Cricetulus griseus: one gene and its partner. The protein of the gene in region 2 interacts with the protein of the main gene of each other region in a pairwise test. Links are inferred from orthologs where the notes say so. Each region holds a gene or a part of one and is shown on either strand. Other genes may lie near its edges.

Evidence for each region.
Region 1: the proteins of Topbp1 (region 2) and Cip2a interact in a two-hybrid assay, tested with the Homo sapiens proteins (2 studies listed by BioGRID). The link is inferred for Cricetulus griseus from reciprocal best matches to the Homo sapiens genes TOPBP1 and CIP2A.

Annotation. Positions count from the first base shown.
Region 1 is NC_048597.1:42,070,457-42,075,714, reverse strand, and holds part of Cip2a (protein CIP2A), read left to right. Parts: intron 1-526; coding exon 527-674; intron 675-1,776; coding exon 1,777-1,889; intron 1,890-3,590; coding exon 3,591-3,685; intron 3,686-4,328; coding exon 4,329-4,425; intron 4,426-4,980; coding exon 4,981-5,103; intron 5,104-5,221; coding exon 5,222-5,258.
Region 2 is NC_048597.1:211,546,529-211,551,786, reverse strand, and holds part of Topbp1 (DNA topoisomerase 2-binding protein 1), read right to left. Parts: intron 4,159-5,258; coding exon 4,024-4,158; intron 2,845-4,023; coding exon 2,701-2,844; intron 919-2,700; coding exon 737-918; intron 1-736. UniProt on the Homo sapiens protein: Scaffold protein that acts as a key protein-protein adapter in DNA replication and DNA repair. Composed of multiple BRCT domains, which specifically recognize and bind phosphorylated proteins, bringing proteins together into functional combinations.

The sequences.
Region 1 (5,258 bases), about 170 Mb from region 2:
ACAGGAAGTGGTCTGAGATACTGGGCCTGACTTGAGCATATATGAGTCTTCAAAACTTGCCTCCACAATGATCCACTTCCTCCAACAAAGCCGTACCTACTCCAAAAAAGCCACAGCTCCTAATAGTGCCACTCTCTATGAGCTTATGGGGGCCAATTACATTCAAAATACCAAAGTTCTGCTGTATATTTTTAATCTGTGTTCAGTATAGTACAGTACAGTATAGATAATATATAAATGTTAGTTCACTAATATGTGAAAGAAGTAAGAGTATGCTATAGGCTGTGTAATAAGTAAAACTTAGATGATCTGACTGGCTTAGGAAAATGTTTCTGGAGAAAGTTAACTTAAACTGAAATCCAGATGATTCAGCTAGAGAAGGAGAGAGTCTGTATGTGTGCAGAGAAAACAACAGGTGTGAATTTTCTAAATTGGGGAAGTAGCACTTCAGAAAAAAATGGTTTATTTGAAATGGAGACAAAATAGAAATTGCCAGCACTTAACACATTTGCTTCCTATTTTATAGGTTGTTTCTGGACAAAAGCTGACACGACTTTTTACATCACATCAAATATTGCCAAGTGAATGTTTAAGTTGCCTTGTAGAACTTCTAGAAGATCCAAACATAAGTGCTTCACTGATCCTAAGTATTATCAGTTTGCTGTCTCAACTGGGTAATGTGTTCATACTTTCTCTTTTGGAACTTGGAAGACTATGGACTTAATTTTTTTTAAAGATTTTATTTTATGTACATGAGTACTCATCTGCATGTCTACCTGCATGACAAAAGAGGGCATCAGATCCTGATACAGATGGTTGTGGGCAACCATGTGTTTGTTTGCTGGGAATTGAATTCTGGATCTCTGGAATAGCAGCCTGTGCTCTTAACTACTGAGCCATCTCTCCAGCCCTGAACTTAATATTTTTAAAGGACAGATAGAGTTATAGAATTTCTTCAAGAATGATTTGCTTTCAAAAAATGTCTTCATTTAAGAACCTCTTAAGAGTTAGTCTTATGGTTCTCTCAAAAGAGTTCCTGAACATATCCATATATACAGAGTAGAGTAGTCTCTTGCCGTATAGGTGTGTTAAATATCTGATGTCTTGGGAGCTGAATCTAATTCTGATTAAACATAATTTAAATAATTACACATTGACTAGTAGCTGTCATATTAGATAACACAGTTAAGAGTAAAATGACATGAGTTGCTACTCATTATTCCAATCTTTATCATTTCTACCTATAGGGATACAATCTTAGTTAATGGTTTGATATGTGTTTTCTAATTTAAATTATATATTTTTAAAGAAGTTAAAATGATAATCTGACTGTATATTATGTAACCTGGATTGAGATGGAACTCAAAATTTTCTTGCCTCATCCTCCTAAATAAGGATTACAGGGATATACCCCCAACCTCAGCTGTTAGGGGTTTTCTTTTTCTTTGATATTAATTATATGTCAAAGAATTAGTGTACTTTGAAATTGGTGGTCATAAATTTAAAAAAGGAAAACAAAATCTGTCTTGGCCAGCCATGGTGGCTTAATTCTATAATCTCAGCATTTCTAAGGCTGAGACAGGAGAAACTGCTATGAGTCCCAGGCCAGTCTGGGTTACAGAGTGAAATCCTGATTCAAAAACTCAACTCAACAGTTATCTCAGGTTTTATCCTTTTTAAGGACAAGATTATATGACATAAAATTATTTCACTATTATGGAATGATTTCTGCATGTATAAGTGATATATCTTATGCCATTTTATTTTAACTTGTAGCTGTAGATACTGAAACCAGAGACTGTCTTCAGAGTATATACAATCTGAATAGTGTGCTGGCAGGAGTGGTTTGTCGAAGCAGCACTTGCCACAGTGACTCTGTGTTTTTACAGGTATATAGATCATCATAATATATTGCCACCTGTTCTCCTTTCTTTATTCTCAGACAAGACGTAGTAAGATGTAGCAGGCTTTCTTGGACCACCAGCCCCCAAATTGTGACATGGAGACTTATTATTAATTATCAGTGCTCGGCCTTAGCTTTAGGCTTATTTCTAGCTGTTTTTTTTTTTTTTTTTTTCCTTAAATTAACTCATTTCTATTATCTGTGTGTTGCCCTGAGGCTTCTTTACCTCATCCTCCTTTCCTGCTTCCTCCATGTCTGTCTGTCTGGCCCCTAAGCTGGCTACCTGGTAGGCTGCCACCTTGGCTGACTGGCTCCCCTTTCTCTCTGCCCATCAGCTCCACCTACACCTCCTCCACATAGCTGTTGGCCATTCACCTTTTTATTAGACCTATCAGGTTTCTTAGGCAGAAAAAGTAAAGATCAACACATCTTTACATACTTAAACAAATGCAGCATAAACAAAAGCAACACAACTTTACATAGTTAAACAGTTATTCTGAAACACAAATGCAACACATTTTTTACATAATTAAACAAATATTCTATTCCACAATAGTAAGACCTTTTATTTACTGCTAAGTAACAATTTATATGATGGCATGACATCGTCAGGCATAGTTCCTATTAGGAGCTAGTAACACATGCAGACTACATAAGTATTTCTCAAAAAGAGGACAGAGAGGACCAGATCTGTATTATCACTTTAACTTACAACACTGTAACTGAAGAATGCAGATATGTGCTTTTTGAAATGTGAACTATTCATATTAAAATTATAATTTGGGTTGGTATATAGTCTCAGCCTGCTGAAGAAACATCTTACAAAATTTAAAGCTATGGTTTAAATTTGTTTAGCACAATTTGAAAACTCCTGCACCCATCATTTTATTGAATCTAATATGTAATCAGCTGCAAGAAAGAAAAACATGACCAAATAAACTGGCATGCACTTCAGAGATAAAATGTAGAGGGAAGAAAATATCCTCAATTTAATTCAACCCCCACTAAAGTTTAATGTAAGAGAACAAAGCAGATGACTGGGCAGATTTGGTTACTACAGCTGCATCAAGTGTATTTATCTCATAGGTTTGGTGGTTCAAGGACATACTATCTATATGAACTGAGATCTGGCAAAGGATCTTCTGGCTATAATCATGGCAAATAGGAAGGGAGGGACATAATCATATCTTAGGTTCAACAGGAGAGATACTGCAACCAGGCTTGTTCCTTTTGTAACTCCCCTCTCAAGAAGTACCTACAGGATCACATGGGAAATACATCATACCTCCAGTGACCTAAGGACTTCCATTCAGGCCCTAACTTCTGGAGGTTCTGCCACCTCCCATCCACCTCCCTTAGTTTCTCCCATTCCCATCCTGAGAAACTAAGGCTTAAGTCATAGCACCCACCCTGACTGGACACAATTAGGTGCCATTAAAACCATAACAATGACAACCCGTGAGATAAAATATGTAAAAATGGATAAATTAAGACATGACTCCCAAGGTTTTTAGTAGTAGTCATTACTTAGGATATATATTTTAAAATAAACTTAAGAAATGGCATAGCTCTTGCTCTGGTGTTTGGTTCCTGAAATGATGTGTTCAAAATACTTGGCAATAGTCCATTTTTATGAGTAGGCAATATGTTTTCATGTGTATACTCACAATTATTTTCTTATTCTCAGTGCATTCAACTCCTGCAGAGGTTAACATATAATGTCAAATTTTTCCATTCTGGTGCCCATATAGATGACTTAATTACATTCCTAATTGGTCATATGTAAGTATGCAACAAAACAAGTAATTAGACAATTTACTGATTTATTTTTAAACTAAGCTGGTAGATCATTTCTTTTCCGTAATGTTTTCTAGCTTGAAAAACAACGGATTTATTTATTTATTTTTATGTGTATGTGTTGTGCCTGAATACATATTTGTGGTATACCATGTATGTGTAGGTGTCCATGGAGGACAAAAGAGGACTTTAGATTTTCTGGAGCTGTAGTAACGGAGTTATATGCTGTCCAGTATAGGTGCTGAGAACTGAGCCCCAGTCCTCTAAAAAAAGCCAGGAAGTGCCATTAAATCAGAGTCATCTTACCAGCTTTCTAGGTTTTTAAACTAAGATTACTGTCAGTTTCCTCCAGTTGGGTGATTTTAAGGCTGAGTATTATAAAATTTTCATAGTAATATTTAACAAACTGATTTAGAAATAAAAAAAGTGAACATAATAAAATACCATGCTCATTCTAAGACCATTTCTGTATTCTGTGGCACAGTTGAATAGGATAATTTAGTCTCAAGACATAAAAGAAATAGTATTACTCAGAATATGATAGTCTTGTTTTACATGTAAGAAAGTACTTAGGTCTATTAACTACTCTGCGATTAAGTAAACACCATGCTTTCTGTCTTTACAACAGTCAGTCTTCTGAAGATGAGTTAACAATGCCTTGTCTGGGATTATTGGCAAATCTTTGTCGGCACAATCTTTCTGTTCAAACACAAATAAAAACTTTGGTAAGTTGAGGGTTTGAGATATGTCTGTATATGTATATTTTATAGTAAGTTCTATTCCTAAATTCTTCCAAGTTCTTCTCTTTTTCTCTCTTTTTTTTTTTTATCATATCCAGTGCTGAGTAGACCTAGGATCTTGCACATGCCATTTGGGTACCTTTACCAAAAAAAGAAAATTTTCTCCTAGATTCTGTATATGTCAAATAGTCTTTTAATCTCTGCTTATCTGTGTTGTAAACTTTCCCTTTAAAAAGTAGCAATACTTTGGGGAGCCCCTTTTGAGGGCCTTACCCTGCCTGGGGAGTGGAGGGGGGATGGCTAGGGGCAGGTGGGATGTTGTGGGGGAGGGGAGGGAGAGGGAGAAGGGATTGACATGTGAAGCAAGCTTGTTCTTAATTTGAACTAATAAAAGAATAAAAAAAAAAAAAGAAATTACCATGTGTTGAAAAGTTCATAATAATGTTTAATAAGCTTGTCCTTATGTGGAGTTATATTTTTCAGACAAAATGTAGAGTTTTCTTTTTTTTTTTTTCTAATTCATTTTCTTTTCTCCTTCAGAGTAATGTTAAATCCTTTTATCGAACTCTTATAAGCTTCCTAGCACACAGCAGCTTGACTGTGGTTGTGTTTGCACTTTCAATATTATCCAGTTTGACACTAAATGAAGAAGTAGGGGAAAAGGTAATTTTTTTTTCAATTTTTTAAATTAACTATGAGTTCATAGTGTTTAACATTTTGCAATCACTAAGATGTCAACCAGTTTCTTGTATATAAAAAACTTTTCCCAATTTTTTCAAAGCTTTTTCATTCTCGAAACATTCATCAGACTTTCCAGC
Region 2 (5,258 bases):
GCTGGGATTAAAGGCGTGTGTTGCCGCCGCCACCACCACCTGGCTCTTCCCAACAATTATCAGCTATTTTTGTTGTCACAATAGATAGATCTGTTAATCATCAGGCTAGAAAACGCTTTGAGTATATGATGAATGGTGTTGAAACAAGTACAGAAAAATGCCACAGGATGCTGACATTATTCAGATACCTGGACTTATGACTATAAATCAAATTTTAGGGGAAATATAATCATACCTCCAAACTCCATGAAGGAAACTCTTGTCCTGTTCTGATGGCTACATACTTCTAATGTCCAGGCCAGTGCATAAAATAGGTTCAGTTTACACTGAGTGATCACATCTCAGCTAATGGCTTATATATGTATATTCAATCTTATCTCTACTTCCCTCCACCCCACAGGAGGGAACAGGGATGCCAAAGCAGTTCACTTAGCCTCCTCAACACTGGAGCACAGTATTGCATAGTGCAACACAGTCAAACTGACTTCCTCATTATTTTAGACGCATTTGCTGCAGAAAACAATTTCACTGTCAAAGCATTTGCCCTCTAGCTAGTGCTGAATCTACAGCTTATCTTCCCTGACAGTCGCATCCTATGACAGTAAGCACTTACGGACTCTGCTCTTCTACTGTCACTAGAGAAATGACCAAAGACCCCATTTTTGTCTCTTAGTAATAAACCAAAAGAAAATGCTATCATTTTCTCCAATACACAAAGCATACAAACATGTCTTACTTCTCTTGTGACTTCTCCCAAAGTGTTTTTATCCAAGAAGGAAGCAAAATAGGTTTCTTCAGATTAGCAGCAACTAGATATTTTTTGCTCCCAACTTCCCCTGCAATAAGGTGAGTGACTGATACATTTAGGTCTCTGTATACTCGTCCACCCATCATTTGTACATATTTATGGACTTCTTCCTATGGACCCAAAGAAAATACATTAATGAGAAAGAAAACAATAGTTCTTCTATTTAAAAACATCGCATAATTTTTTAAAATTTGCATATATGAAATGTTTTGCCTGCATATGTATCTATGCACTATGTGCAAGTCTGGTGCCCTTGGAGGTCAGAAGAGGGAATCAGAGGGAACTGAAGTTACAGAGGACCCAGGTCCTCTGGAAGAGCGGCCTCTCCAGCCCCCCATAAGTGTCTTTTACTGTTGCTAGCCTGAATATACAAATGTTTTTACCAGTAAAAAGTTAAATAACTAACCAAATTACTTTTGGAAAGATGTGTAGGCTGGTGATGTAGCTCAGTAATAGAATGCTTGCCTACCATGCACAAGGCTCTGGACTCAATCCACAGCCTTCCCCCCCCAAAAAAAAACCTAAAAGTAACTGTTTTCTTAGCAGTCATATTGATTAACAATACTTCAATCAATCAACATTTATAGCAATGTGGTCTTGTAGATTAATATTGCTAATAACATCATAGCCTTAAGTTTAAGAACACTCAATGACAGTCACCTATAGAAACATTTTCAGAATTATCATCATTAATAAATGACTGTGTTTATTCTTTTAAACTCCATAATTTAAAGCTGGGCAGTGGTGGCCCACACCTTTAATCCCAGCACTCGGGAGGCAGAGGCAGGTTGATCTCTGTGAGTTCGAGGACAGCTTGGTCTACAAAGCTACAGAGAAACCCTGTCTCCAAAAACCAAAACCAAAATCAACCCTCCATAATTTAAAACTATGTTGCTTCTGATTACATTTTTACATGCTATATTCACACTTCTATGCAATATACAAAAATATGCTTTGTACGGCCCCTTTCTCTCAGTTTTCTGAAGTAGGCTGACCTATGTAGCCCAGGTAACTTCAACTTGAAGAAGTCCTCTTGCCTCGGGCTCACAAGTCCTGGGATTAAAGATGTGAGCCACTATGCCTAGCTATCCCTTCTTCTTTTCTTTTTCTTTGTTTTGTTTTTTTGAGACAGGGTTTTACTATATAGCCCTGGCTGACCTGGAACTCACTAAAAGTCAGGATTAAAGGCATGAGCCACTACACCCAATCAGAATCCTTTCTTTGTTTTTGTTTTTCGAGACAGGGTTTCTCTGTGTAGCTTTGGAGCCTATCCTGGCACTCACTCTGTAGACCAGGCTAGCCTCGAACTCACAGAGATCAACCTGCCTCTGCTTCCCAAGTGCTGGGATTAAAGGCGTGTGCCACCAACACCCAGCTTCAGAATCCTTTCTTTAAAGATTTTCTGTGCTAGAAAAACTGCTTCAAAACCAAGTATACCGAATGTAGAACAAACAGTAAATTTTATTTTAAATCAAAACAAAACACTTCACTTAACCAGCTTTTCTATGAAATATATTCCACTTTCCCCAGGGAAGGGCACAGCAACTGGTTTATCTAATACCAAATGGTCAGTTCTAAAAATATGCATGTAAATAACATTTAGGATTACATACATATGCATGTGTACACACACACACACACCAACAATGAAACACAGAGGTCATCAATTTGAAAGAGAGCAAGGAGTGGAATACAGGAGAATTTGGAGGAGAGGAAGTGAGGAAATAATGCAATTATATTATAATCTCAAAAAAAATTTTAAAAAGAAAATACCACTGGGAGCCATGCACTGAAATCTGAAAGTCATAAAAACCATGTATGTGGTCTTTAAGATACATCCCACCGCAGGGAAAATCAGGTGTGGAGCCAGCACTGCTCCTTTCAGTACTTACCCTTTTGTCTTTATCCAGGCTTGTACAAGATATAGTTATATCAGACATAATCATATTGTAAACTGGATACTCAGCTCTTGGGACGCACTGCTGGTGGTGCATACAAAACGTGACTACTTGAGGACCAACAATTCTGCAGCCAAGCTATAAAAAGTTAGGGAAAAGATCACCAGTATCACAAAATTAAATGTGGAACATTTACCAGTTACTCACAGAAACTGAGAGAGACTACTGCTGAAAGCCACCAACTGTTAGAAGAATAAAGACTCACATAATTTCTCTGGCACACTGAGCATTAAAGTAACACATACTCAAAAGCAAAACCACAAGAGCCCTTCATTCATAACTGCTGTCAATTTTTTTGGGGGGGAGGTCTAGACAGGGTTTCTCTATGTAGCCCTGGCTGCCCTAGAACTCGCTCTGTTGACCAGGTTGTTCTCGAGCTCATAGAGATCCAACTGCCTCTGCCTCTGCCTCGAGTGCTGAGATTAAAGGTATGCACCAGTACTGCCTAAAATGTCAGTCTAAAACTTAATCTTTTTTTTTTTTTTTCTTGATTATATTTTAGGGCTGGAGAGATGGTGCAGCAGTTAAAAGCACTGGCTGATTTTCAAGAGGAACTGGGTTTGATTCCCAGCACCCACACTGGCTCATAACCACCTGAAGCTCCAAATTCAGAGGATCCAATGCCCTCTTCTGACTTCCAAGGGTATCAGGAATGCAAGTGGTGCACCAACATGCACGAAGGTAAAAACGCTTAACCATAAAATAATAAATATTTATTTTTTATCTTGAATTATACATAGTGTGTATGTAGGTATATGCACATTTTGTGCCAGTACAATTGGAGGGCAGAGGTAGTGGATTCCCCTGGAGCTGACATTACAAGTAGTTGTGAGCCACCTGACATGGATGCTTAGAATCAAATCTTCAGGTACCTTAAAGAGTAGTCTGTGCTCTTAACCACTAGGCCATCTCTCCAGCCACCCAAAATATGATATGATCTTAATGCATTAATAACCTAATGCTGTAACAACTAAGAAACATTCAAGTTTGCTTTGCATACAAAGCACCAGCCAGTAAAGCAATTTTCTAGAAGTCTAAGAGCCCCAAACCTGAAGAATCCCAATGTACTCATAGTACTCATGATCAGTAGAAAATCCATGAAGCAAGGAGACCAGGTGACTTCCAGCAAGCAAGCAAGTATGCATACACATACAACACACACACACACACACACACACACACACACACACACACAAATAAAAAAGAGAAAGGAAGAAGCAAAACCTCTACCAAATAAGCATCTTAGAGACAGCAGACCTGTTTAAGGTGATCAAAAACAGCACCACTGAATTTGTCACAGATATAAAGTGATTTGTCATTCTCCTTTATCTTCAATGCTTCCTCCTCTGAAATAATCTGAAGATAGTCTTCTGATTGTAATTCTTTTATTGACTGAAAGAGAAAACAAAGAATAATTAGTTCCCTATATTTAAGTCCTACCAACTCTTAAGAACCCATTTCAAATTCAGCCCTTTCCTTATTACAGTATTATTTCTCACCTAAACCACTGCAGATACCTCTGGATTGGTCTCCTCTCTTAAATGTATTCTTCACATAGAAGTTAGTAATGCTTTTTAAGAAACCAACCAAGGGCTGAGAAGATGGCTCAGTGGGTAAAACACTTGCTATGCAAGCACTGGTATCTGAGTTCGGATCTCTAGCACCCATGGAAAAAGCCTGGTATGGAGGAATGTACTTGTAATTCCAACAAGATTCTAGGGGGTCCCTGGCCAGCCAGTCTAGCAAATCAGTCAGCTTAACAACAGTGAGAAGCCCTGTCTCAAAAGACAAGGTGGAATGCAACTAACACACCAGACAGCAACCTCTAATATCCACATGTGCACACATGGGCAGGCACTTAACACATGCACACATATACACAAAAAATTCAGATCATGTTACTGTCTGTTCAAAACTCTCGGACTTTCCACCACACTCAGATTAAATTCTACATGTTTTTTGTACATTAAGCCATGAAGTCACAGGTGTACTGGCTTCTTGGCTTCACCCGTTGGTTCTCACAATGTCTTCTCTGAGTGGAGCAGGCAGGAGATTCAACCCCGGTGCCTTTCTCTTTGGCTTCCTTTTTTTGGCTCACAGATTTCTTTCACTGGTCCCAGGAAGCTGCCCCAGCTCTTAAGAGTGCATAATGTTCCCTCTACGAGCATTAACCCTCTTAGCAAGAATCTTGCCCTTAACTTGCTCATTTTCAAGGCCAACAGCATAATGAGTGATGCTGTAGATTAATTCCTCTAAATTTGCCATAGTAACATTAGTAGGCTACCCACAAAACCCAGATTCAATCCAATCAATGGCAAAGAAACAATTCCATGTTTTCTTTATTTTTATTTAAAAACAAACTCAAGTGTGTATGTCTACTACATGTGTACAGGTGTCCTAAGAGGCTAGACAGGAGCTTCGGATCCCTGGAGCTGTATTTAAAAGTAATTGTGTGCTACTGACATGAGGGCTGGAACCTCAGCCTTATCTCC